Linked DNA regions of Styela clava. The protein of the gene in region 4 purifies or fractionates together with the protein of the main gene of each other region. This does not show direct contact. Links are inferred from orthologs where the notes say so. Each region holds a gene or a part of one and is shown on either strand. Other genes may lie near its edges. The genes, in order: autophagy-related protein 2 homolog A-like, PAX3- and PAX7-binding protein 1-like, tuftelin-interacting protein 11-like and histone deacetylase 11-like.

Evidence for each region.
Region 1: the proteins of histone deacetylase 11-like (region 4) and autophagy-related protein 2 homolog A-like purify together in Homo sapiens (co-immunoprecipitation; 3 studies listed by BioGRID and IntAct, counting the BioPlex papers as one, with this or other methods). This does not show direct contact. The link is inferred for Styela clava from reciprocal best matches to the Homo sapiens genes HDAC11 and ATG2B.
Region 2: the proteins of histone deacetylase 11-like (region 4) and PAX3- and PAX7-binding protein 1-like purify together in Homo sapiens (co-immunoprecipitation; 3 studies listed by BioGRID and IntAct, counting the BioPlex papers as one, with this or other methods). This does not show direct contact. The link is inferred for Styela clava from reciprocal best matches to the Homo sapiens genes HDAC11 and PAXBP1.
Region 3: the proteins of histone deacetylase 11-like (region 4) and tuftelin-interacting protein 11-like purify together in Homo sapiens (co-immunoprecipitation; 3 studies listed by BioGRID and IntAct, counting the BioPlex papers as one, with this or other methods). This does not show direct contact. The link is inferred for Styela clava from reciprocal best matches to the Homo sapiens genes HDAC11 and TFIP11.

Annotation. Positions count from the first base shown.
Region 1 is NC_135259.1:16,431,317-16,438,666, forward strand, and holds the start of autophagy-related protein 2 homolog A-like, read right to left. Parts: upstream 3,022-7,350; coding exon 1-3,021. UniProt on the Homo sapiens protein: Lipid transfer protein required for both autophagosome formation and regulation of lipid droplet morphology and dispersion.
Region 2 is NC_135260.1:20,023,512-20,030,451, reverse strand, and holds the start of PAX3- and PAX7-binding protein 1-like, read left to right. Parts: upstream 1-3,917; 5' UTR 3,918-3,991; coding exon 3,992-5,265; intron 5,266-5,646; coding exon 5,647-5,798; intron 5,799-6,940. UniProt on the Homo sapiens protein: Adapter protein linking the transcription factors PAX3 and PAX7 to the histone methylation machinery and involved in myogenesis.
Region 3 is NC_135264.1:14,210,476-14,218,116, reverse strand, and holds the start of tuftelin-interacting protein 11-like, read right to left. Parts: upstream 3,008-7,641; 5' UTR 2,818-3,007; exon of another isoform or gene 2,813-2,817; intron 2,216-2,812; coding exon 2,013-2,215; intron 1,294-2,012; coding exon 1,153-1,293; intron 880-1,152; coding exon 710-879; intron 25-709; coding exon 1-24. Other genes in the region: protein FAM81A-like, read left to right, coding at 3,420-3,460, 3,937-4,033, 4,492-4,629, 5,023-5,126, 5,798-5,927, 6,446-6,559, 7,096-7,224, 7,597-7,641. UniProt on the Homo sapiens protein: Involved in pre-mRNA splicing, specifically in spliceosome disassembly during late-stage splicing events. Intron turnover seems to proceed through reactions in two lariat-intron associated complexes termed Intron Large (IL) and Intron Small (IS).
Region 4 is NC_135252.1:6,045,646-6,053,518, forward strand, and holds histone deacetylase 11-like, read right to left. Parts: upstream 3,026-7,873; 5' UTR 2,564-3,025; coding exon 1,472-2,563; 3' UTR 341-1,471; downstream 1-340. UniProt on the Homo sapiens protein: Responsible for the deacetylation of lysine residues on the N-terminal part of the core histones (H2A, H2B, H3 and H4).

The DNA.
Region 1 (7,350 bases), on a different chromosome or scaffold from region 4:
TGGTGAAGGGTTTGCATCAGAAGAGCTATTATGTGAGCCAGACATGAATTCTTCATCCAACCAAGGGTCCTCAGAATTTTCAAACTTCTTTTTAGTTGGTGATGGTTGCTCTGTTAAAGTTGTGTTACCTTGTAGAAGAACGTTGTTGCTTTCTTCATGACTTGGGTTTATTGTTACTTTAATATGTGGATAATCCATCCCACTGTTTGCATCAACATGACCTCCTAAGGGTCCGATCACAGATGGACTTTGACTAATGCGTAGAAATGATTTAGGTCTCTCTGGTTCATCTGAGTAAAGAACGTGTAAATCCTTTACTGTGATTTCGAATTCCTGTCGTTGCTGTGAGCTAGATGAGCTATGCGTTTGCCATTTCTGTCCAGAACGAGATCCTACTTGTCCACCTGATCCAAGCGAAGAAGTTAGGAAAGCAATGTCATGAGCTTCAAGAATAAGTGTTTCATCTCGTAATGAACGATTGTACCATGGTCGTCGCTCCATTTCCGGTCTCAAATCTGCGATTGGAAATCGGAAATTGATTTTCAAAAATGATGCAGAGATGTTCAAATTTAATTGACGATCCTTATTATCCTCTGAAAGAGCTTCATTGAAAGCTGCTTGTTGGCTGTAAGCATCAGGAAGACTGTGAGCATAGCTTGTAGGTGAGAACATACTTGCGGCATTAGATTGTGCTTTCGTTATTGAATCAGGGGGATAAAGCAGTGTGCTCAATCGATCTACAATGCTAATATCAACTTCAGATTCACAAGCAGAGAGATGAACATGCAATGTTGTTTTAGAAGATCGATGACTATCAAAATTATTTATACTAATCTTGATATCAGGTGACATTTCCGATTGTGCTGTTTTCACCAAACCACCGGCATAAGGTTTAGGATCGAACACCAGAATTTCAGAATGAACAGAAACCTTTTTCTTTAGCACTGGAGAGCTTTTCGTTTTCCCACTTTTTAAAGAAGATTTTCTGGGAGCATCAATAAACAAACATTCAGTAATTTCAGCTTTACCAAATGAAAGTTCACTGCTGGATGTTTGAGATGTTTTTTGCTCACTGTCAAGATGTATATGTGCTGCTGTGAAACGAAGATGATCATGTGGACAACACACTGAAGCTAAATCACTTCTTAAAGTGTTTATATTTTTGTTGGCTTTGAGCGTTTCGTCAAGGAGGGTTTCACACAATGCATAATACTTATTTGACATTTCAACATGGCAGTTTGTAACACTTGTATTAGAAGAATCAACGTTGCTCTCTAAACTTGGCTGAGGTGTTAAGGACGAATCGACTTTATGGGAATGTGTGGGCGACGCTGATGGCGGCAGAGGATTTATATGAAGTACCGTGACTGCCATTGCTCTGATATGAAACTGATAATGACAATGGTTCGATGTTGTTTTATCTTCTTCACTGCGACTTGAGTGATGCCGTCTCAGACCATGTGGAGATGTACCATAACCATTGTATTTTGACTGGGCATGTTCTGTGCCAAAATGGTGATGGCCTCCACCCATTACTTTCGACGAAGGGTGCATGGGTGTCATTCTAGAACGGTTAGTATAGGCAGATGATGGCGTAAAACCTGTTGATTGACTATAAATTGAAGTCCCATATTCACTGTTTTCATACTCTGCTGCTTCTTGGGGAACATGTGAATACAATTTTGAACCTTCCATCGAAAAGAACTGATCTCCTTCATCAATATCTTGATAAGGCGGATTCGCCAAATAAAGATCTTCATTTCTTTGTCGATTACGTTTTCTTAATTCTTCTCTGTCTTTATCCGACGGTGAGGTCATTGCATTTGTAGGTGATAATTTTATCCCATCATGGCATGTTGCGAAATTATTTGTCTGCATTGATAGAAATTCATCTCTTTGGGGGTCGGGACTTACTGAAACAGGAGTAGCAATTCCACTTGCAAATTCCGCTAATAGATGGACTTGGTGTGGTGTAAGGAACATACTGCAGGATCCAAAAAAACATTCAGCATCAAGTTTCGGTGCAGATACATGTTCACTTTGCCGAATACGAAGTTTAACCTCTTGCCAGCCAAAAAATTTTCCAATTACAACTGGGCCATCGTATTTAGTTTCCTTCTGAGGCTTATCTAGTCTCTCCTCTATGATTTTCATCGTTTCAAACTCAGTGTGCGATATGTCAATTGGTTCTGTACCTCGTGCTTCTGGGCTGCCAGTTGACCCAGGTGGAGTTGTTCTCAACTGCTCTGGAAATTCATCCATAAGTATTTTGATACCAGTGGCTCGAAAATGCTTGCATGTAATACTCTCCTGTTGGTAAACAGTTTTTTTGTCGCCAGTGTGTTGAGGTTTCTTCTCGTGCGCTGGGGAAGAGTCATTCTTGTCCTCCATTGTAATTTCGTCAAAATATTCAATACGCTCTATATGAACTTCAAGACCAATACCCGTTCCAGAATTTTCCGGCAAATGTTCAACGCGAATCACCATATCTGTTAATGAAACCTTAATTTTTGATAGAACAGTTTCAATAGTTTGCGCAAAAACTTCAAGTCCCTCAAAAAGTCCTCCAGCAGATGTGTCTTGAGCTTCATCTTCTTCTTCTTTGAGGCAACCTTCAGCAAGTTGCATTGATGTTGTCATATTCCCAAGGCTTTTATACAAAGAATCAGTCATATTTCCATGATCTACGTCAGTGCGATACTTCGGTTGAAGCGTCACTTCCAACCCCTTGATTTCAACTTTACAATTGTCACTCAGTAATGCAGACCATGGGATTGTGACGACGATTGATCCAATAAAACCATCTACAATTTCCATAGGCACATGAGCCTGGTCTAACATTCCATTTAAAGCCCATATATCGAGTGCAACATCATTTACATATCCAGTTCCGTTATATAAATCCACACTGAGCTGGTCTAAGCGAAGTTTCTCCTGCAGGAATTGTCCAAGATAGTGCTGTAATAAATATCGGCATGCTCGCTTTTTTATTGATTCAGGCCATGAAGTAAACCACGGCATTGTGTCTCTTTTATCTCTCTTTATAGCATAAATAAAATAGTAGTTAATCAATGTACTTAAGAAGCTGGATTCTGGAAAAGCAAAAACATTTTAGGATAGCAGCAAAAATCTGCAAACAAATCATTTCAATGGCAGTGATTTGAATAACTCATGTTGAATATTATTATAAAACTAGTTGATAAACTGTAGTATAGTGAAGCAGCACAACCAAGAGTTATATCATAATTAGATGAACATACTAATATTACAGTAACAAAAAACAGGAAGTAAGATATAGTATTATAAGCAGTTTCTTTTTGATTGAGTCCATAATCATTAATAATCAGTATAAAGGCAACAAGTGAATGATAAAAACATATGGTGAGTAGCATTAAAAAGCATGCCAGGAAAGCAAACAAAGTTTGTAATAGAAAATTCTTTCAGATAATTGGTATCATTAGAAGAAGCATGAGAGTTTGAACAAAAACATGTCTATTCTCTCGCATGCGCAATTCAAAAAATAAGAATAAAAACGCTATCTTATTGAAAATAGTTCGACTGATTTGCAATATCTTACAGGGATTTTCATATATATATATATGTGCATATATATCAATATATACCTTATATATGAAGAATATCTGTAGTGTTCAATTAATACAACAGTTCGAATAATAAGCTTCTCCATGAAAAATATTTATATTTCAGTGTAACACTTTTATATGAACATGCAAATAGCATACAATTACTCCCTGCATCTGGAAGACTGAAATTTTGTTACCCAGTAGAAAATATACCATAATAAATTAGTTACTCTTCACTAAACGATATACAAGTACAAAAGTCTAACAACAGGAGTTATGCCAACACTTTATATCTGTGTAAAATACATACCAAACTAATTTTTAAAAAATTAAAATTTATAACAAAACAGTTTCAATTTAGTCCAATCGCATATTACAATTTTTCTCTATCCAATTGATAGTTCTCTCCCCGAAAATAAGGAAATATTCAAAATGAGAGTCGCTGTTTATACACAACCTCGTTGGAGTAAAAAACAGGTAAAATTGATGACAGAAAATTCGGACTATATGAAATCTTTTCTCATATCTATATTCCTTATACTATAAAACAATTGAAATAAACTCCTAACTATCCTACCATCTTTAGCTTGATTAAGTTGATCAATTCAAAATGTCCAAAAAAACATATAGCCTGAGGGCATAAAACATCCAGACAAAATAAATCACAATAATCGCAGTAGTTATTTCTTTATGTAACTGTCTTTTATCTACATTGAAACTATCTTCACATTATTTAAATTACTCATTTAGTACAAGAGTAACTTATTGACAATATATTTGGATTAGGGTTGCCACTTCTGGATACATTTTTTTTTCGAATCGAATCTCAAATCAAAAATTTTTGAATTGAATCTTTCCGAATCTGATTCCATTATTTTTTTTTATTTTTTTATTGCATGCGTATTTTTGCTCAAAGTCACAAAAAAGCTCAAATCTAGATGAGTAAAACTAAAAAATGGAATAAGCTATATAGCAAAGATGATAAGGGTTTTTCAGTGAATAAGCCACACTCATTTCCATCATGATAAATGCATTGATGAAAAACTTGCTGTTGCAACTTATCTGTGAGTCTTACAATACTGAGTTATTATTGTGTTATACTTGTATCAGGACTGAGGCAATTTTGAGAAAAACAATGTCCGTTATGGTTATGACATTTGCTAGAAAGAATTCGAAATGTTTTATTCCCGCTTGTATCGCGCTAACAAAATTAAAATTAAATACTACTTTTTTTGTAACAGCTGAAAAAAGACGTGTATGTACTATTACATTATGTCCTTCTGATTTCGTTTACCGCCATTCGAGTGGAAGCCTGACAATTGCAAACAAAACAAATACATATTTTAGGATGAGAAACATGATTGTCAATTAACATTGCCGGCCGATGATTCAGTAATAGTTGTACGCGAAATATTTCAATCAGAGCAAAGTTTAAATTAAATTTCAATCAAAATTAAATATTATCTAGACGTCGGTAGCTGATTCTTTATCCAATCATGCCAGGGCGCACAATAACTTAGTCGCAGCGCAGGTGTGCTTTTGAAAATTTTCATCAAAATTGTCACAAATTTTTAGGTATACGATCTATTTAAATTCGCGCATAATAGAAACTTAGGCTATTTAGTAGAAACTGAACGTGCAGTTTGGTGGAAATTACGCCACACATCATCTCGAGTGAAGCGTAAACGAGTGTGTTGTGCCGAACTTGAAACAAATGACGGCAGATAAGTAGAAAAAGTCAATCACGAAATCCTAAAACCGATTCGGAAAAGATGCGATTCGAATCGATCCGATTCGTAAATCCAAAAGTGGCATCCCTAATTTGGATGTTAATTATAATATATAAAAACCTAAGCTTATCCTGTTATAGTAGGCACAATACAAAAATGTAATGAAACAAAAACATTGTAAACAACAAAAATGCATAGAATTTAATGATATATTTTTTGAGAAAAATTTTGCGAATGAAAACTGAAATTTTTTTTCAATCAGTTGGTGGCCGAAATGAAACCATATCTGAAAGAATTACATTAAACATATTACCAGAATGTGTAGCTAAAGAAGAGTGACGCCAAAGAAATTCAGCAAAATACCCAGCTAGCTTCTTCCTCTTGTTCTTTGCCTTTGCAGGGTGCCACAGAAGTTCAATATGTTTGGTATGGTCTTTACTGCAAGGATCCACAAAATTATAGCCCGCTTCTAATATCAGGTGTTGGGATTCTGAAATTTCTTCAGGTGATTCATCCTGAATGGCCCGAAACGCACTCCAGTCTTCAGTAAATATTATCGTTTCAGGGTGTATGTAATCAATTATTGGTGGAATTACAGTACTTTGTGTATCATCTGTAACTGATACCATGAATACTTCCTTGGTTTCGATACAAATTCCTCCAAACACCCATTGTTGTGGAAGAACTCGACCAACATGGTTTTTCCTCTTTGCGAAGTATACTTTATCTATTTCCACATGCTTATCTGGACCTCCGATAGTAACAGGATTTCTTAAAAGTTTCCAAAGACACACTTCTCCCATGTATCTATTCCAGTCAGTTATTATGTCTTTTTTCATTCCAAGTTCTGATTTACAATATTTTGCGGAAGCCAATCCACATGACCACGAAAAAATAAAGCGAATTAAATCTCCATATGGCAGCCTTGAACTAGCAAGCCAATTATCTGTTCGCACTCCTTTTTCTTTTCTACAGTTTCTTTTAGAGCAACGCCATCGATTCTTGTTTCCTCCTCCGAAAACTAGCTTCATTGAGTGTCCATTCGCACATTTTCGTTTCAACTGCAGTATTCCAACCTCTTGTAAATATTTGATGCATTTCTCTTCATTGTCAAGTTTAGGAATAAGCATTTTTAAACTTTCCATTGTAATACTCTTGTTTTCTCGAAAAAATAACACTTATTGGAAATATTACCAGATGATGGGGGCTGTAGAGATGAGGCAATTTAAAAGCAGATAGAAGATTGACAAAATATATTATGAGACAATCACAGACTCACAGTGTCAGCTGTTTTTGTACAGTAAATCATATAGCTGTATAGCCTACCAGTATACGGACCTAAGCTTCATAGGTCGAAGATTCCAGTTGTTCCAGTATTAAAATGATTTAGGCAGTTAGGGCACTACTTACTAAATTTTTCGGTAGACTCTATGACTTCTATTTAGGGGTGAGCTAAAAGGGTTCGGAACCTCTATTTTTGACATGTAAAAAAGGGTATTTTTCTGTATCATAAAAAGCAATTTTCATAGCTTTTTAGACACTCCTGAAGACTCTTGAAAATGAAAACCCAAGTTTTTCGGCCTGTGGTCTGACCTGCTAGGGTGGCTTACCCACTTTGCGGCCACGACCTATTTGCGACCATCAACTTCATCGATTAAATTAATGATGAAAAAATTAACAAACCGTGACGATATTTCTCACGCGTTATTTTCCACTTATCCCTCATAGTTCTGCGAAATTACACTAAAATGCAGCCACAAACAAAAAGTTACGACCGAAAACCAGACCGAAGAAAAAAAAAGGACCACTTTTTCAGGTCGCCAACTACCCATTGTTCCTTTAAAAAAGCTTGAAAATTCATACAAATATAAGAGATAAAGAGATGAAACTTGGCAGGTGGGTAGAGTTGTGTTTCTTTTAACCATCTTTAAAGTTTCGCGTTTCTACATTTGAAGGAGGGGGAATAGGGGGGTGCGCATTTCCAATACGTCGATAATATCTTTGTCCACCAATTTGCGACCACCGTGTTTTTGTCT
Region 2 (6,940 bases), on a different chromosome or scaffold from region 4:
AATGGAATCACTTGAAATAAATTCAAATATGAAATCTCTTCGCGGCACACCAAAATCTTTTTGCTGTGGCGCGGCTACCTGGTTGGGAGCCACTGCCTTAAACAATACGCTCCGATTCACGGTACATACTTGCGACATTCACTAACGTTTATTACGTAATAATGTCTTCGGTAGCGCGTGTCGTGCTTTGGAGAAACACTGTAAAAGCATGACATCAAAATTTTACTTTATATCAAGGTGCTTCTGTGCCGAGTTGTCTCACGGACCTCAGTTTGGCTCGTTGGTTTGGCATGTTAGAATTTTGATGTAAAATTCAAATTTGGGCCATGTTTGACAAGATGTTATTATATGTTACCAACATACAATTTTTCCGAAACTTTTTTTTTCTGGTTCGAGTTTGGTCCGAGATGACTTCACAGTAAGTTCTTTTGGGATGTCTTACCTGAAAGTTAGACACGTAATCGAAAAGTACAGAATCTTTGAGTTTAAAACTGATATTTATTTTCAGTATTAACTTTGATGTTAAATTCTTGTTTGAGCCATGTTTGACAAGATATTATTATGTGTTCCCACTTCCCAACATACAAATTTGTTTAAAAATTGGATCGAGATGATTTCAAATGTGGCCGGCCGTTGAAAATCACAGAGGTTTTTGTGGAATACCGAGTGCAGCGAAATTTCGTCGTAACTTTGTCAACTGATTTGCCACCAGCCTGCATACTGGCCAACACAAAACGATGTGGCTCAAGGCGCGGCGGTGTGGCTCAACGGGCTAAGCGTTAGGAATACGCTCGCCACCGCACCTCTAATTACTCTGCGTGGGTTCGCAGGTTCGAATCCCATGCAGGGATGGTTATGTGCGAGAGGATTGCTGGACTCCTCGCCGTCGTTGGGTGGTTCACGTAACCGCTGGTCGGTTACGGCTTCCTCCACCACCAAGTCCATGCTTCCGAAAACAAACAATACAGTAAAAACTAATCCCATACCCGACTTGGAATGGTAACCGGACGAGAGGCCGTGGTTCGCCATATGGATAAGCCGTCTTATCGGTTTTCCTCTCCCCCGGGATAAATATGTAAATCCTATCCTATCCTACTTCTATAATAAACATCGATATTGTTTTATACTGTTTTTTTATTGTTTCATTATAATCTAACTCCATAAAAAATTATCGATATTATTTAATATTGTTTTTTCATTGTTTTTGTGGAAATAAATCTCTCTCTCTCTCCCTTTCTTCCGTCGTGGCTTTTATGTGCCATGTTGAATCGTTTTCTGGCAACTTTATTTTTCCGTTTCAAAAACGAGAGAGATGTCTGCTAGGGTCAATTTGGTCATTTTTAGTACCCGAGTACGGTACCGTACCGATACGTACTGTATCCATATGTTCATATTTATTTTTAATCATCAATGTATAACTTTATAGATTAGTAATACCGTACTGTATCAGGATAGGAGTTTTCTATTCATCCAGGGGAGAGTCTGGTTAACCCTCTCTGGGCCCCTTTATCTTTTAGCAGTGAGAAAATCGGATATTTTTAGTGAAAGCAATACTTTTAGGTCATATATCAGTATATATTGAATTTTTAAAACTTTTCAACACTCCGACTCCCTGGGGGGATTTACCCGATGTTGCACTAGTGCAAGTTCGGGTCTCATGTAGTTTCTTACCTAACATACTTCTAGTCCAGTCTGGATTTCATGGCCTTTTTGAACGAGAAATCGGGCGTGCAATCAGAAATTCCCGCGTGCAAATAAGAATTCCTGGCGTGCAATTATAGCTCACGACGTGCAAAACAACTGCACTCGCGTGCAACTGACTTTGACATCAAATACCTCTCAATACATCCGCGTAAAATTACCGGTATCGGATAAAAAATACGTTGAATCAGAGAAAAAAATGGACGTTTGACCTTTGACCCCAAACATTATTTCTACAGTTTGTCGCTAATTTTGAGAGTGTTTGTGCGACTTTGGATACCGGTACTGTTCAGTACATCCGCGTAAAATTATTGGATAAAAAATACGTTGAACCAGAGCAAAATGGACATACTTTGTCATTAATTTTGGTAGTGTTTTTACGTAGAATTAATGGATAAAAAATACGTCAAATTAGAGCAAAATGGACGTTTGACCTTTGACCCCAAACATTATTTTCATACTTTGTCACTAATTTTGGGAGTGTTCGAGCAACTTTAGATACCGGTACTGTTCAGTACATTCGTGCAAAATTATTGTATGAAAAATACGCTGAATCAGAGCCGTACTTGGCCATTGGTGCGGAGGCGATCTTTTCGTCCATAACTATTCTCACGGGATTCCTATTTCCTATCATTCAACACGATATGGACCTTTCTCCGAGCATCGACTTCCTTGTTTACTTCGTGACATTGGCCAATCAGCAAGATGCAAAAAAGGACGTAACAATGAGAGGAATTTTTCGCGGGTCAAAGGTTGGGGAAAGGTCCATGGTCTTTTTGCTTCGCAATATTTCGATCAGACCAAATCTTGCAAGCTGGTATTTGTCGACAATTGTGGAGGTATAATATTTTGGCATCTTTATATTACTGGATTATTGATTTTAAAACCATTTAAACCGATTTACATTGGTGAGCAATTGCAAATTTTCGGCGTGCAAAATTGATTTCGCTCGCGTGCATTTTTGCGGAGCGCTAGCGCCCTCGGGCGTGCACCTGCCATGGAATCCAGTCTGGCTTCTAGTGGGCGTACCGGTAGCATAAAAATTTTTTGATATGTCAATCCTAACCCCCATCTGATTACGCCATCCAAAAATTTAATCACTACGACATCACAATCACGGCATAGAGCTTGCCAAATATACGCACGATCGCCCGAAACGGCATTGGCGCCGACGATAAAAAACTGACTGACGTTATCGGTCTCTCTCCTATTGGAATCGTTGCGACGAGAAAACGAGAGAACTACGGTAACTGTTCGATTCGGGTGGTCGTTTGCGCGTCTTGGATGGCAGTACGTATAGTTTGAAGGGCTCTATTACGTCACTGTGACGTCGTAATGACGTAATTTTTGGATGGTGTAGTCAGGTGGGGGTTAGGATTGATACGTGAAAAAATTTTCATGCTACGCCCACTAGAAGTATGTTAGGTAAGAAACTACATGAGACCCATGGATTGCAATACCTTTGCCTTTAGGGTGTTGTGAAAAATTGGGAGCAAAAGAAAAACTGTGCTCCCCCGAACGTTGAATTAGGTTTCTGTTTATCTGGGTGAACGGCGTCACACTCGGACTTTCAAAACACGACTAAGTTACAACTTTGGATTTGTTTCTAGATTGCTATTGTCTGTCCATATAAATTTCAACAGTCAAAATGCTGAAATGGTCTGATTTTTTAGGCTCAAAATCTTAGCTACATAAATATTGTTCTGGAAATTCTGTGTTTCAACGAGATCAGCGTCATCATATTCATAATTGTAAGTCTCAATTGCTTCTTTATCTGAAAGTGTGGCATTAGAAATACGTGCTAATTCAACGCAATTTCTGCAAATATTCTACCCGTCGGCATATTTACAATTGTTCTGCTAGATCGCTGAAAATACAAATAGAAAATCTGAATCAATCTGAGACAGTGTCATACAAGCGTCCAGCGTCCACAAATCCTGATGAAGTTTTCATGAAGCGCCTCTTGAATAAAATTCAGGAACTTTTTCATTTAGTGCTCCTCAATGTTGTTTAGAATGAAAAATGTTCATTAAAGCTTTGTTTACTGCATGCTATGGCTGTGCTTTTGCTTTTTCTCTGTTATTTGCTATGTGGTTTGTATAACAAAAAAAAACACCACCTAGCTGCCTAGTCCTGCTCATCAGATAACCTCTTGCACTGTTATGTTCTGAGGTATCAGGTACCTTACAAATTTGGTATGATAATTAAATAGGAAGTACCTACTTTTCACTTCACTAGATGCTTCTTCAATCTAATTTTTAAGTTACGATATATCATAATATAAAATATCATGTTCAAGAAAACTTCCAAAAGAAATTTACGGCAACGAAAAGACTCTGATGGTGATGGTATAGATGGCATTGCATCAGAAGAAGGAAATAATGGCGTTAATATCGCTGCTTTGAAAGCAAAACAAAAGAAAAAAAGCAAGGCTAAAAGAGCAGAAACCACAAAGCCAGAGCAAAAAGCAATCCTAAGTTTTGGAGGTGATGAAGAAGAAGAAACTGAAACTTTTCAATTGAAAAAGTCTTCTAGAAGTCGCAGAATTGCCAAACAAATTAAAAAACTTGCACAAGAAGAACGAGATCAACCCGATTCGCCTGGAAGTGGTGAATATACGAAAGAGCGTCTAGCTGAATTAAAGAAATCTTCTATGGCACCCCAGTCTCTGCAGTCTACGAATTCACCATCTCATCCTTTTGGGAGCATTTCTGAAAATAATACTCAAGATTCAAATACATTTGGACAACCTACCAATGGTGGGCTTAAAGAATTACGACCAGGTGAAATTCCAGATGCTAATCGAATTCATGCTGCTAGAAAACAGAGAGAGATGATGAGGAAATATGGCTCTGATTATATAGCAATTGAAAATACAGACTCGTACAAAACGAACCCCAATTCTCGACTTGTACGCGAAGATGATTTGGAAAGCAGTAGTGGGGATGAAGATGGTCCATCGGTTGCAATGAAAGGAGTTATTGATGATGGAGCAAGAGTAGTACAAGAAATCGGGAACGAAGGAGAAGAATCATTTAAAAGAGATGAAGAATTTGATCTGTGGGAGGCGCAAATGATCAAAAAGGGCATTAGCACTCAGCAAGTAGGAAAGTGGGTTGGGGAAGATGATTCACAACCCAGACCTGATAATAATATACCATACAATACTTATGTAACCAATGGGACTTATAATTCCTCTGATATTACAATGAACTACAAACCTACTATAAATGCTACACCTAAAATTGCCATGACTCCTGGTGAAACTGTGACAGCAATAAAGAAACGAATTTCTGAGAGATTGGAATCTGTGAAAGAGGTTCATCGTACTCATAAACAAGATGAAGAAAGAGCTATCTTAGATGTGAAAGAGAGTGAAGATTCTGCTGTACAACTCGCTGATGTAACAACACTATCTAAGCAGTATACGTATTTCCAAGACATGAAAGCATATTTGACTGACCTAATTGATTGCCTCAGTGAGAAAAATGTGGAAATAGAGGCCCTAGAGAAAAGAAGGCATAAAATATGGAAGGAAAAAGCTGATGTGTTTCTTTCAAGAAGGTATGCAGTTTTTTCTTTTTTTGTTGTTGATATTCTCATAAGGCTAAACTAAATCACATTTGGAAAAAATTTCCCAATGCAAAGGAATCATTAGTACAAAGGATAAGATTTCTGGATCCATACGAAAATATTCACTTAAATTGTGTTACCTTGACTACCGCTATGTATATATTTTTAGCTTTGTTACCAATTATCGTAAGGAGAAATTTAAAAAATTCGAGCTATTAGTATTACTTTATCAAGTTTGTACTCATTATGTTGGATACATGATGCTTGCATGAGATTTAGACACATTCAATATTTAAAAACATAAAATTGTGATATTTATTGCCAACTATGCTTTCTGTTTTGCCAACCTTCCATTCTTTGATTCATTCATAGACAACAAGATGTTGCAGATGAGTCGTCTGAAATTACTTGTGCACTTTCTAATGTTAAAATTGCTCCTTCTGCTGTCGATAAAAGCAAACAACTCAGAATAAGGGAACGGGAAGCAAGAAAGTCTAGAAGAAGAGCAGTGAGAGAACGCCTGGGTAGGTTATGCGCTAATTTATTTATTTTTCCTATATTAATTAAGCTGCTGATATTGAGCTATTGCTACTTGGGCGCTCCAGAAGTATGTGTTCCAATATGGAGGTAACTTATTTTGTTCACCTATTTTACATCGCGTTGTGTAAAGAGACTGAAGCCTATGAGCAGGGGTATGTATATTCACTTGGCTAACACGGACAGTCCCCGGAACTCATAATATAACTAAAATAAGGAAAATCGGAATAACACTATGGCCTAACCCAGGGGTGGGCAACTTCTCTAGTCGACGGGCCAGATGTGGGAAAATGAAGTCCTCGGTGGGCCGGATAATAACATGAATAGTATTCAATATCTTAATCACATATTTATTCGCTAATGCAAGAAATAAAAAATTTAAATCGCGTTTAAAGTAAAGTTTATACTACAAATAAATAGAGACCAAAAAACCAATAATGAATTATCATAATGTACTAAAACTGTAATAATGTAATATCATAATGTACTGATGTACAGTCAGCGGGCTGGCCGGTCAAAATCTCGTCGTGGGCCGGACCCGGCCCGCGGGCCGTATGTTGCCCACCCCTGGCCTAACCCAAACCTGGTACAGATATTTTGTATTCTTCATTAGATTGCCTATTCTCATATCCAAATTTACCTTGTAACTAGGGCTGTCTAAAATTGAATATTTTTTTGATTGAAATCGAACTGAATATTATTGCACAATCCTAAATATATTTCCATCGTACAATAACAAACTCCCTCTTTTATATTGTGATAATATATGTGCAATTACATCTAAAATACTGCTGGTATTTTGCATAACTAAGTTTCAGGGTAATGACAGCGACAGGTGTTCACTAAGAGGTCCCGATACTTCAATTTACTCAATTCCAATAGAATCAGTTTTGATAGGGCATGCAAAGCCTTTCGGGCTATTTTAATCCTATTAGCATTAATCTTTAACTTTTATCTTTATCTTTTACTCTCTGTGTAATTTTTAGCAAAATGCTAACAATGATTAATACAGTATAAAGAACACCAGGTTCTCAGGAAATAGGGAGGTCACAAATTCCTGTTTAGTTTGATGACCTTATTGTTAATGTGCAACAACCATCAAAATGCATAAGTATAATTATTTTCAATG
Region 3 (7,641 bases), on a different chromosome or scaffold from region 4:
CCATTTTTTTCATCAGTTTCATACCTAAAAAGAAGTTAATTAGTTAAAAAAAAGGGACATAACAGAGATGCTAACGAAGAGGTCATTAGTGATTATATTGTATCGGTATAATCCATGGGTTCCCAAAGTGCCCCATTCAGAGCCCCAGGGCTCCCTGAGAAAAAACCCAGGGGCTCCGCGAGCTATTGTTTACTTATTAGAATACTGAATATTTTTTAAATATGAATTCATCCAAATCATTCAACAAAGCAATTTTGGTTTTTTCAAGGACATCAAACGGTAAATATTAATGTTTCTAGATGTGTTTTTATTTTTATAAAACAATAGTCAACCTCTTTATGGGCTCCATAACTCCAAAAGATTGAGAACCCCTAGTATAGTCAACGAAACTTAACAGAGGGGAAGAGTTTAATTTGGTTCAAAATAGTCTGTGGTCCTAAAAAAGGTTAGACACCCTATTCTGGGTGTCTGACAATATCTTCTGTTTAGGAATCATAGGATAACCACTTTAGGGGAAGAACAGTGGTCTGATGGTCACACAAACGGGATTCATGTAAGCAACATCTACCCAAACAAAAAGTTGTGTTCGCCCCAGTTTTACTATCTCATTTAAACAGTAGTAATGCAGACAAAATGTTTGTTCCCCAAGTTTTAAGCTTTCATTTGTTAAAGAAAGACTGAAATTAATAATGAAATACTAATAAATTACCTATTCCCTTTGTATGCCTCTCAAATGACCCAAATTGCGTCGCCATTTTTTCTTTCTGTTTTTGTTTCGCTGTTAAACTATATGCATGACCACCAGATCCACTAGTCCCAACGGCTGAGGTCGAAGGCTTAGGCTTTGGTTTCTGGACTGAGTGTAGAGTTACAGGTTTGCTGAAATAAATATTAGTATTGAATATATTATAAGTTCTTACTCTAATACAGAGGTGTGCAACACTATTTGTTGATGGTCCATATAACCCATTTCAGACATTTAGCTGGGCCACAAAAAAATTAGCGGAAAAGGCGAGAGAATTTGTAACTTAATTAATTAGTTTCATGTCTCCTTAAAAAATTGTCTACGTTCCCCACCGTTTGAAAACCACTGCTCTAATAAAAGCAAACATAATTATTTTATAAAAATTAAGAATTGAAAAAACAATATACGTTTCTTTAGTCTGTCTTCCTTCAACATCATAATCATCCATATTCTCTTCCTCTTCTGGATCATATCGTTGACGTTTTTCTCCTTCTTTTAAACCTCCACTGATAAAGGTTACTGGTGCTGAGAAATCGCGTTTCTTTTTGCTGTAAAAATTAGAATGTGTAGTAGATAAAAAAAAAATTGTTTTGTCACTAAAACCTGTTATAAAATTTGAAAACACAAATTATCAATACTTTACTTAATGTTCATTTTATACTAAAAAGAAAAATTTATCCTAATAACTTTTGAAGCATTATCAATGAGCTTATAACAAATTTCTTAATAATTTCAGTCTTGAATAAATTTTTGAATTGATGCTTAATACGATAGATCAGATATACATTGATTCCACATGTCTTTGAATAAGTTGGAAGCGTTCGAACTCTTGTTTATCATTCCAGTTCAAACAATTCATGCCTAAAAAAGTGATGACACTTGTGAAATAACCTTCTCAAGCAATGAAACTAGAAAAAAAGGGGAGTTTTCTTGTAAACTGAAAAGTTAATTTTGCATCCAGCATTGCATCCCCCTCCAACTGCTCCCTGAACACCGTAGAGGGCAACGGCCCCTGGTTGGAAATCGCTGCTTCAAACAATGATTGTGATGCCATAATGGTTATAGTGTTGGCATTGCGCATTAAATATCTCAGATCCAAGCCTACACTTCACCCAGGGCATAATAAACTGGAAAGAGAAAAGGTCAAAGATATTCCGGGTCATAAAAAATAGTAGTGCATACTAATGGTTGCCTTGTTTGGAGGAAATCTCACATAAAAAACAAACTAAAAATCGATTTTTCAATTTGACAGTCTTGAATAACTAACCCATAATTGTTCTCAGATGATTTTGCCCAGATTCCATAAAGAGCTTGTTCCTTTGTTTGCTTGAATTGTGGTCGATCTGGATTAAATTCGTTAGCAATGTCATCATTCGTTAATTCGAATTTCTCCATCTCATTCTCTTCTTCACTATCAGCGGCAAACATGGCCGCTATTTTTCTTTGACGGTTCGACATTTTGGGAGGCATCTGAAGACAGAATTAAAATGGTAAAAATGAATAGCCTATATTAATGAGCAGGAGGTTCGAATTTTTTTAATTTATCGCAGGGATGAGGATAAGATGGCTTAATCATAAGACAACCAATTGTCTGGGTGAGCATGTTGCGTATCGGGATAGTAAACAAGTCTAGTAATTAGTTTCACATCCATAGACTTGGTGGATGCGGTAACTGACCAAACAAGAGCTACGAGTACAGCAATTCCCTAGAACTGTGCTTCCCAGCCAGTGGGTACCATATTCTTAATGCCTAGCATAGCACTATGCAACATACAGCATTTGACTATCAGCAATAAAAAACATAAAGATAATATATTAAATAAAATAATATATATAATATGTATATAGGGTACATATGTAGATTAGATATGCTTTTACAAATTTCCTCATTTTAAACATTCGCAAATTCATTCAATCATCCTAACAAATTCAGATATTACAATAAAGCAAGGAAATGCCTGAATGAGGTCTTTTGGTTGTTCGAAAATATAGTTTTATAAGCCCAGATACGGTACCGTACCTACTGAGATATGCTGCTATCTGAAATGTATAATTATTACAGCTTACCGTACCTTCAGCAAGAAGAAAATCCAGTATTATTTCTCCTCACGCAGTCACCAGGTCACAGACTCATAAATATCCACAATTTTTTTGTCCTTTCTCCGTTTTTTAGTGACAAATGATTTCAAAAGCGTCATAAATCCCGTAAAAATAATTAATAGTATCGTAATAATTAATTAATAGTAAGGGAGATGCGAAAAAACATCTGCAAAACAAAAAACAAACGACATTACATTTTAGCCTTTAGTTTTCAGATATTGCAAGAAGTGATGAAATAAAATAGAGAACATAGCTGTGAAATCCATATTACGGTACAGAAATACGATCTGGCAAAGTTAGCATTTTTTATTTTTTTTTTTATTTTTTTTTTTATTATTTTTAGTTTCCGAATTAGATCAAGATTATTAATCATTTTTTTAGAATTTTGAATATCATGGTTTTGATTACCACTGTGAATATTTACTAAAACTCAATGGAATCGCTAGAAGGAAATTACTGACATGCATGAACAGTTACGTTTCCAACAACGCTGAGATTTTTGTGTTTTGGTGACATTTCGTGGATTTTGCGTTATCAAAATCTCCCGGAAAAAACACGGAAAGATTGCGAAGTTATGTCCGATAACGGTTACGACGGTACAGTCGTTGTTAGAAGGTATGTGCTGAATTATTTTTTTTATATACGAAGTAATATAACCTTGTTATGAAGACAGAATCCAAATGTTTCCAACTTTTATTGCTGTTATTTATAGATGACAAGACGCGTGTTTGTTCCGTTTATGGTACCCTTGATTTATGACCATAAAGTTATATTTTATTTACTTTTCATGCTGTAGATCTATAGGAATATGATTGGCGATATTCAAATTTTTGTAAACCAGACATAACTTAAGTTTATGTCATATTTTAGTATTTGAAGTTAGGCACAATATCCAGATATGTTTTTTTCTGATTTCTATTGCGTGGCAAGGTTATATATACATGATTAGACATGGGTAGTAGAATTAGCTATTAGCGATTACATAAACCACTATTTTGCAGTATTAATTTGAAAACATTGACTTCCAAGATTGGCTTTCATGAAATTGAAGTTTTTATGTCTAAATGAAAATAACTTCTTGATATATTTAGATCTGATCGTCGGGGTAATCGTAGATTAAATCATTTGGAGGACAGATTGTTAGAACAGGAAAGAGCAACTAAATCATTGATTGAAAAAGCATTTGAAGTAAGTTTCAACAATCGTTTCTTTTACAATTACTATTTGTTCGATTTGAATATATTTTCAATCTTCTTTTTGCTGTGCACTCTGTTATTAATAACATTGTTTTACTGCTTCTATCAATATGATATTTAACTCAAATTTGTCTTAATTGCGGACTGGAGGTTTTGATCTAATTAAAGCTTCCCAGCTTATCTATAATGTAAAAAGTCAGATGATCAATGTAAAGGGCAAATAGTATCCTCCTTCACATGACAGAGCCTTGTTTGCAGTTTTTTAGGTTCAAAAAAAGTTAGGCTACTCAAGTTGCTACTCAAAGCAAAGTGACACAAACTTACTCCGAAATTAAGGAGACTGATCTCAAAATGAAATTACGGACGACCACTAAATGTGAATAGCTACTTTGACTATACTAATACTTAGGCTATACTTACAGTAAAATTTCTTTATTTTTTTATTCTCAGTTCAAAGAAGCTTTATCCAGTGATATTCGACCATCAAGTATGGATGATGCATTGCAGCAATTATGGCACGAGCATATCAGAAGCGTAACAAGCTCTGTTAAAAAGTTGAGTCGAGATGTTGAAGAACTTAAATTTGAGGTAACTTTTTAACTCGGAGTTTATCGGCATAAAGCCCTAGCTTTCTGTCTCCGTGGGCTCGTATGGAGCGCTTTGATGACATATAATTTAGAGTTATACTATGATGAAACCCTGCTATCTAAATTTTTTATCTAACGATAGTATATGACTTTTCTCTGAACAAGACTCTGCACAAGTCAAGTCACCACTGCTAGATAAGGAGATACCATAGTTTGGAAGCGCCGTAATCTTATCAGTTCGATACCGCCTACCTAATTCATCAAATCCAGGGTAAGGCGGTGGTTGTGGAATTCGAACCCAAGATTCCATTTAGTTATGTCATCACCGTTAAGTCGAATGCTTTACCCATCAGGACCCCATATCTGATTGTTTTTGAAATGATTGCATTGTCAGATTTCATCCAGAGATCGTGGAATAGTGGATGCTTCCTATCAAGCTAAAAATGTTGAACAATTTGCTCATGCGGGGGTTGCCGATCTGAGAGGTCGTGTGGCAAGGTAAGACTACTATTGTTTATTCTATCAATTCCACTCCGTTTTTGTCTTATCAAAAATTTAGTTGCTTTTAAAGCTAAAGCATTGATGATAAGTGTGTAGAAGCGTCGCTGTTGGCTAAATATCTGGAATGATATTGTACAGTATTCCCGTATTCTTTATGAACAGACGAACTTTTTCTAGTTTTCAAATTTGATATTGGTGAAAATAAGGAAAAAATATGGCGAGGGTTGAAAATTGATTATGGAAAATTACCACTTTTTTTTGAGGGCAGGAAATAAGATGGGGACATAGACGAAGTAGATTGATTAATTTTTATGTGCTGTATTACATTGATAGCAACTATAAATTACCCATTGATTTCTATGATTAGACAAAAAATATTTTTAATTTGATTGCACACTCCATGGCTACTCAGTTGTTATTGTTTATAAAGTTAGTAATAGATAATCTCTGGCTAAATTTGGAGATGATTTGGTAAATGTGTTGCTGTTGACCAGCTGCCACTTACATATTAAATGTATTCTCGTATAAATTGGTATTTCAATTAATTCTTGCATAAGTTTTTTTGGATATTTTCTCAATTTAGCATTTGGTCCATCTATATGAGTTTTGCTTTTATAGTTACTCCAAGATTTCAGTACATTTTGCTAAACATTTTTTTAAAAATTTAGATGTGATGCTCTGATTGCCAGACTTGCTCAAGATGTAAGGTCGGCAACATCAGCCAATGAACTAGATAAAAAACATGTTGATCAAAGCACAGACACAAATAAACATAAGATAGATCATCTTGAAAGAGAGGTTTGTAGCTTGTATATCTATAAAAGTATGCAAGAGTTGAACGCTTTGTAGGTTTTTGATTTGTTTTACTATATTGACATTTTAGCAAAATTTCCTTGGTTGTGTCTTGTTTGTGTTTAATTTGAACCTCCATGTCATACTCACTTTCAACTTTTATATTTTTGTATGCAACGAGTTGTTATACCTTCCTGGGCTAATATTGATTTTAAATTAAGAAATTTATATTAGGTATTTGTTATTAATATTTATTGTTAGACAATCATGGTCCAGACATAAATGTGATAAGCATGTCCTACCTGAATGTGTGAATGCCAGATGGATGTTTCATGTCTTCAGTTCTGTACACCTTATGTCTTTCGCTTTATCCTATATTGTTCATTATCTAGTACTGAGAAAAACAGGCTTTCCAATACGTTTGCCAAAATCCTTTCATTTAAATTTGGTAGTCTCCTGCCATTTGTCTCTTCAATTTTAGTGTTCAGTGGCTAATACTGCCTTTTTCCTCAATTGTGCTTCAGATTTCTGAATTGACCAGAAGACTTGATATTGTGATGACTCAGCAGGAAGGGAAAATAGAAGTTATAAAAGGAACAAGCTCTTCCCAACTTCAAGCTATGGATTCGAGAATGAGGGTGAGCTTGCACTCATGTGATGATTTCACAAATACAGTGAAATTTGAAATTTTTTTAAATTATTACCTACGATGTAATCGATGAAACTTGTTTTTGAAACATGTTCGAAATGATTAAATGTTCAGCGAGCGTTATTATGACAGATCTGAAGCCTCTTAAATGCAAAAGTTGAGCCATGATATGCTATAACTTTAATGACAGTTTCTACTTTCTATAAACCTTGTTTGTACAGTTTTAACGAAGCACTGTAAAATCATAACATTAGCCGAATGAAAATACAATAAAGATCGTAATGTTTGACAACTTTCACTTTGATGAAAGAATATGTTAGCAAACAAGATATATTTTATTCAAACTCATAACAAGGCCCTGAATTAAGCAGCCAATGATATACAAGGACAAAGGTGCAACTATTTTTGGAAGGACCTAAATCTTTCAGGTTCAGCATTTACTACTCCATCCAATACAACGTTGGTGTGGCCATATTGCCAAGTGGGTAATGGGATAACAATTGAATTTACGGTTTTTCTCTGCAGCAAGTCTTGGAAGACATCAGACTTTCCATAGATAGTAATCGGAAATGGTCTGAGAGTGAACGAACCAGGATTGAACATCAAATTTCACAAATTATGGAACTGAATGCATCTCTGGCTCAAAGCAAACAGGTGAATAATATATGTCATTGTTTTTAAAGAGCCAAAATATACAAGAGAGCTTTGATAGCTGTTCCGCAACTATGCCACTAATATATAGGGAGTTATATGTAATGAAATCCTGTCTGGCATGAAAGGAAGCTCCTGAATGTAAATTTTCTCATGTGTTTCACTCTGATTAAGAGGCAAGACAAGCAGCCAATCTCTTTGATTCGGCTTCATTAATCCCAAGCCAAGGTTAGAACATCAAGATTATTAACCTTCAAGTTACTGCAACATCATCACAGTCAGCTCCACCGGACTAACTATTAGACTGAACACAAAGCATAAATTTCCACATCCTAAAATTGATAATTCAAAATATCTTATTTATTATCATGGCAGGATGCAATGGAAACAAGATTGCTGGAAAAGATGGATTCCTTGCAA
Region 4 (7,873 bases):
AGTATGGAAAAATTGCTAATCCAGATATTCCTGTTATTTTTGCAATGGTCTTGGATCTTTTCAAGCTCTCCATATATTCCTGGGTATGAACTTCTTTCAACTCTGCTTCCGTAATTTCAACAGGAGTGGAGAATGAATTAACTGTCAAAATTTTTTGTGCAATAAGTATCTGACGAATATTATTTCCTTTCAATAAATCAAATTTGCCCATTTTTTCTAATCCCATGAAGCGTAGATTATATTCCGGACAATGAACCATAGGCCACAAATCATTTTTGTGCAGGTCAGAACTGCCATCCTCCCTGAGTTCAGTACTTGCACCTTGGCCCATACTGATATACTATGATTATTAATAATATAAAATGAAGTGACAGTGATAAAAATTTAGTGCATAAATGTGTAAAACTTTGTAATAATCATTTTATACAGTATATAATAAATGAAAAATAAAATTGTAAGAGGGAAAATGGGTATCAACGTTGAACACTTCAATTCCATTCCACAAGCACTTAAAATAACAAGTGCTTGAAAAATAATGGAGAGTAAGGTTTTGGCGAAACAATTGAAATTTTGAAAACTAAAAGAAATATAAAACTAGCATTTACATCAACATAAACTCAAATACAACTTATCACTTATTATTTTTTTTTATTGCAGATTTATGCATACTATTGACAAATGATAAATGCTTTCACATTGACAGTGAAATTGATACAAATATCCAAATCTGACTGCACATTTCTAATCATAAACTATGTTTTTAGGCATATAACATATGGCTGTCCTCGATAAGCATATGAAAATGACCATATCATTGTCATGTGTATATTCATGTGATGAAAATTAATATTGAAAACTATTTTTCAAAGATGCGATAAGCACAAATCAAATTCATCAATCAAATCAATCAATCAAATCCATAAACTCAAAAATATGTAAAATCAACAAAACCAAAATTTTTGGAAAGAGCATTTACTAGAGAAATGAATAAATACTGTAGTCTGTAGGTATTGCATTTAATCTAAATTTCATGAAACAAACAGAGAAAAATGCAAAATCGCCAATAAGGTTTCGATTTTGATACCGAGTTCGTTTGTTAAAGATTTACCACAAGAAGAATTATGATTGTAAAATATGAGTCAAATTAGTCTGACCACTTAGTTCAAATCAGATTAATTTTGTCATTTTCAATTGAACACTACATCCAATGAGGCAATTTGGGCTCCATAAGACATTTGTTAGTTGAGTTATGGATTAAAGTTGAGATGATGTAAGTGACAAACAAAAGAATAATATAATTTATGAATAATATATGTCAATAAACACAGTAGGCTTTTTCATATGAGGTCATTCGAGATATTTCAGGTATCAACTATAAATGTATATTATGATCATGGATGGAGTTAATGATTGCAAAAGGAAGTATGAGAATCACTGTATAGAAAGCTTCCTGCAACTGATATCACATTCATTATTCAGAATGCAAAATATTTTTAGGTCCAGTTATAAATCCATGACTATTGAGATTGAAAATTGAATCTGCTATTATTGCTGCAGTTGATCTTTGGTATCCACCAGACGTGAACATAACAATTGGAATTTTGTTTCTGTGGGCCACTTCAAAAACTATTTGATCTCTTTCAACAATGCCATTAGGTGATATATCAAGACAACCAAGTGGATCGCCGCTGAGAATGTCTGTTCCAGCATTGTACACAATATATTCAGGATTGAACAGTTCAATGACTTCAGAAAGGTTTTTTCTCACAAGTTCCAGATACTTTGAATCACTCGTTCCATGCACCAATTCCACCGGACGAGAAATGGCTAATTTAGCACGCTGATCATTCGGATATATTAAACGATTATACACATCGAAAATGAAAACTCTTTCTTCACCCATGAAATCATGAGCATATCCATTTCCCTGGTGAGCATCAAGGTCGACAATCAGGACTTTGTTTATGTCTGGAAAGTTTTCCCACAAATAACGAATGTTTAAGGTTATGTCAGCATAAGCACAAAATCCTCCTCCACGCTCAGCAGAGCAGTGATGAAATCCACCACCAATGTTAATGGCCCATCCTCTCTCCATTGCCAACTTCCCTGCCAAGATTGAGCCACCCGTTTGCAATCTAAATGGTCGCAGAACTGAGCGTTGAACAAAGTAATTAGGCAGCATTGCAACTGGTGGAACTTCCGTGATCATTGCTACATTCGCACTCCATTTTAAACTATTCAAGTATTTCTGGCTGTGTACTTTTTGCAATTCCTCTTCTGACGCTTCTAAAGGCTCAACAAATTCCCCAGGCAATAACATTTTCTTATCTATCAGCATCTGATGAACTCTTCCCCATTTGCCAGCATCAAATGGATGCAACTTTTCCATGCCTCCAAAACTTACATTGTAGCCAGAACTGTAGACTAATGGCCAGGCTTGATCCGAAATATTTAGATACAATCTTGGAATTCTTTCATTCGACTTATCAAAGCTTCTACTGTTGGGTTTATGTTGATTCCTGCTGGGTTTTAAAGGTCCTTGCCCCATATTTCGTACAGTCATATAATCCTATGCAGCTATAAGCATTAAAACAACTACTGCACTGTGACTAGGGGTGGGAAATGTTGAATAATTTATTACGGTATTTTAGAATACTCAAATCAAATCCAGAATACTGAATCACGAAATGGACGTATATATAGATAGTTTTGATATTATGTTCCTGTGGAATAAAATGTAAAAAAAAATTGTAAATGTATCAGTCTTCGCGTGTAATTGAAAATGTTCCGATCATTGGCTCAGGCCAATGAAATTCGATAATTTCTGCAATATTTTTTTTTTATGTAAAAACAAAATTTTATAATTAGTCACAAGTTATCACATTTTTTTTTTGACCTAAATTGCTTAAAAATTTTCCTGGCAGCATTACCGCTCGGTTATTGAGAAGACAAAGTTTTGCTGCATTATTAGGCACTGTATTGGGAGTTTTGATATATATGTGTGGTGATGTTTTGTCCACCACGGCACCTTCACCACAGTATATGCACGGCCAGTCCGAGACAACTGCAACTTATGCGCCGTAGCGGGTACCGCGCGGCGGTGTGGCTCAACGGGCTAAGCGTTAGGAATACGCTCGCCAGCGCACCTCTAATTACTCTGCGTGGGTTCGCATGTTAGAATCCCATGCAGGGATGGTTATGTGCGAGAGGATTGCTGGACTCCTCGCCGTCGTTGGGTGGTTCACGTAACCGCTGGTCGGTTACGGCTTCCTCCACCACCAAGTCCATGCTTCCGAAAACAAACAATACAGTAAAAACTAATCCCATACCCGACTTGGAATGGTAACCGGACGAGAGGCCGTGGTTCGCCATATGGATAAGCCGTCTTATCGGCTTTCCTCTACCCCGGGATAAATATGTAAATCCTATCCTTCCTTCCTAGTCTTCGCGTCAATTACGGGTGCAAACTATTGAATTTAATCGTAGTAGTATATATTTACGATTTAACCACTATCAATTATAATCAAGCATGGGTCAGCGTGTTTATTCTGTGAGATTAAGACCCGTAAAATAAAGTTACCGTAATCGTGATTTCGTACTTAACATGTAATAACATCCGATAACGAATCGCAGATTCCCGAGAAGGATGTAATTATTTGGGAGTGCAAAATAAATGTGACCAATATTTTGTTTGTGATGAAACTTTGTATTTTCGGAAGAGGCTTGTCGTAAATGTATTAAATCATTGTAAATAATATTTGATATAAATTAATCGCAAATAATGTTATAACATTTAACGTCTGGCTTTTGGTTTAGAATCTAATCTAATCTCTGATCTAAACTTCAGATCAGGGGTGCGGCCCGCAAGGGAATATTGTGCGGCCCGTAGAGAATTTTCAATGGTGTGCGGCTAAATTAGTTTTTACTTTATTTTGATCTGGTTGGGCTTCAAAGATAATATCCGAGTCCAATTTGCTATCTGTGCCTATGACGTTACAACGTCTCAACAGCAACGCGATTCACAAAGCTGCCACTTGCTGAACTGCGAAAAACTTGAAAGGAAATGCGGAGCAGACGCTAATGAACTTGTATGAACGAGCAATCGAAGATCAGGAAACTGGAAAGCAGTTTAAATTTTTAATATCAAGAGATGCAAAAACTAAATTGAGTTTGGTTCCAGTCTATCAGTTGATTTTGTCCAAATCTAATCAAGAATAAAATTTGACAGCAAATTATTCGGAAATGAATCTTGGCGTACTTTACCGAAAACATTTCAACCAAGATAACTTCCCACATTTGAAAAAGGTCATGGCTTCAAATAGGGCACTTTTCGATTACATCTTTTTGTTCAAAAACGGGCTCCATATCAAATTCGTATCACTTTCATTTAAGCAAATTTGGATAAAGAATCTAGCAGCAAATTTCTTACCGAATTCGTATAAAATGGATGTAACGATATATTTGAACTACAGTTTAACTCATCATTCCTGCAAGGACCCCCAATAATGACGATTTAGAATCAATAACATATAGACACTATTATGTGCCTACAGCTAATAGAAAGCCTATTGTAATGAAAGTGCGGCCCGCGGTTTTACCCCGTTATTGATATTTGGCCCGTCTACGAAGAAGGTTGCACAATCCTGCTTTAGATCATTGTTCTCGGTAGAACTCGTAGGCCGCGAAAAATCATTTAATCTAAAACGGAGCATGGTACGTCTGTGAGAAATTAAATTTTGTGGGTCATATGACATGAATAAAAATTGGTATACAAAATTGGGCTAGATTGTTGAAATCAATCACTAACTAGGTCGTAAAGCTGGAGAAAGAGAAAATGGTGCAACAACAAGTCTTCGCCGTGAGGCGTTTGTTCATTCATGGGAGTCTTCTTGATCTGAAGCGCTAAGATTTCCGTGTTTGACGTCTACCGCTTTTAATCAAACGAGAGAAATTTTGACGCAAGACGAAAAGCTCATCTCTGATTAATAAATTATAAAACCGGAAATACAAAAATTGACGAATGCTTTTAAAGAAGCGGAAACCAAATTCAGTTATCTGATCCCCTAATTGGATCCGAATCCTCCAGATTCGATATTCTGAATTGCCCATCCCTAACTATGGCACTTAAGTGCCACGGACAGAGGCTATTAATTATAGTAGCAGGGAATGGCAATTGGGGCGATTAGGTACGCAGGGCTGGATTAACCTTTTGGAAATATAAGCACGTGCTTAGGGCTCCAAGGGAGAGGGGGCACCGCAGAAAAGTACTATCGAAAAATCTATATTGGTGCCTTAGTAATGGCTATCAAGTTATTTGATTTAAAACTAGTTTTTGAGAATGCACTTGAAAACTGACTCACGCACAACAATGAAAACGAAGCAAGGTTCACAACGATGCTTAGATTAGAGATATACATTTCACAGGTTCTTGTATATACTTAAAACTAACTTAGACTACTTGATAATTTCATCTGATAAAATGGAGGGGAAATTTGATCATAAATGTGTCATTTTTCACAATAAATTCCCAACCCTGATTAGATGAATCCAAAATTTATCCTCGTTTTGTAAATAGTTCTCTATAAACTGAGAGTTAAAAAAAAAGAACCTGTATCAATTTATGTATTTATTCATGTGTTGTATTGGGTGGTAACTGACTCAGATGACCGTAACTGGTCGTATCGTTACCTCCCAGTCATACCGAAGACTTTTGTTTCACTTATTATGTTATTATTATATTTAATATTATGTGTTTTCTGGTTGACGAAATAATAAATTCTCTCTCTCTCTCTCGGTACCGACTAAATGTAGACCGATATATTTAGATTTGAATCTGGTCCAGAATGTTTTAAAAAATTATTTAAAATACGGATGTTGAAATTATTTGTTGCGTGGAGGGATTTTCCAATTTGTAAAATACCAACATATATATTATTGGTGATGTTGACGTTATCTCCCATTCATGTCACTTTTTAAAATGATCACCCGCTTCAACAGCCTGTTGTACAGGCTAATGTCCAGCTTCTTGGACGAAAATAAGTGCACGGAGTCGGAATCCGCAGATTTCAAGATTGTTCAGAGTAGAGCGCGATAGTTTATTGCCCTCAATCTACGTTACCACTGTGAAGCTAGCAGCACTTTCAGCCAGAATATTTTTACACATTGAATATAGGTTCCACGCGCATATAGTGTTCACTTATAGGTAAATATGAAAATTGAAAATGCTGATCAAAATATAATATTGTCACGAAAATAGATGAAAATTTTTTAAACTGAATGAATACATTAAATTTAACAAGAAAATAGTGTTCAAAAAAAGACTAACTAAGCGAAAAATGAATTTTCAGGTATTCCGCAAATACAAAGTTTCGGAAAATTATCCTTTTCGGAACCTCGATTCCTCGAAAACCGCCAATAAAGGCAGCACCACGACACATTTGGAGAAAAGCAGATACCATATTAATTCAATTTTTCTATAACAGAACAGTAGCAGTACGTTTTGGCTTGACCATATATATTACCAAACATATCGTGTAATCTAAATTTTAAAAACGGCATGGACGTAACAAATTTAAAATTGATTTTGTATTTCAACTATATTTGCTAGATAATGGATAAAATATCATTTTCTTTTTGTCACACATTAATACTGTACATCTTTTAAACTTGGAATACGTTGCGGGAAGTATAAAACAGCAAAAAATCATTTGCGACTCCAGGTGGATTCTGTCCTGGATTACAAAAAATTATCGTTTTTAAAATGGCGATTTTTCGAAAACCGCCAATAAAGGCAGCACTACGACATATTCGGATAAAAGCACATACATTATAGATTCGATTTTATTATGCCAGAACAGTAGCAGCACGTTTTGACTTGGCCATATATAATACCAAAAATAGCGTATATTCCTCGATTTTTAAAACAAAGGTACGTAACATATTAAAAAAGGGTTTGTATTTCAACTAAAGTTGCAGGATAATTGATCAAATATCTTTTTCTCTTTGTCGCACATCAATACTGTACGTCTATTAAAGTTAGAATAAGTTTCAGAAAGTATAAAGTAATAATAAAAAAAATTTTGCGCACCCCCTTGAATTAGGTTGAGAATTTCGAAAATTATCGTTTTTGGATTAGTGATTTCTCAAAAACCGCCAATAAAGGCAGCATCACGACACATTCAGAGAAAAGCACATACCTTATAGATTCAATTTTATTATGTCAGAACGGTAGCAGAACGTTTTGACTTTGCCATATATAATACCAAACATAGCGTATACTCTTCAATGTTATGAACAATGTGGACGAAACAAATTTAAAAAGGAATTGTATATCAACTAAATTTGCTGAACAATTGATAAAATATATATTTTTCTCTTTGTCACACATTAATACTGTACGTCTATTAAACTTAGAATGATTTGCAGAAGAAAAGTATAAAATACCAAAAAAATATTTTACGCCCTCTTCGTGGATTCTTTTCAAAATTTCGAAAAATTATCGATTTTGGAAGGGGAATTTCTCGAAAACCGCCAATAAAGGCAGCACTACGACACATTCGGAAAAAAGTATATACCCTATATATTTGATTTCACTATAACAAAACAGTGGCAGCATGTTTTGACTCGGCTACATATAATACCAAAATAGCGTGTATTCTCAGTTTTATAAACATTGTCGACGTAACAAATTTAATAGGGATTTGTATTTCAACTGGAGCTGCGGGAAAATTGATCAAATATATTTTTCTCTTTGTCACAAATGAATACTGTACGTTTATTAAACTAAGAATTAATTGGGAAAGTTTAAAATATAAAAAAAAACATTTTACGCTCTCTATAATGGGTTCTTTTCTGAATTCCGAAAAATAATCGT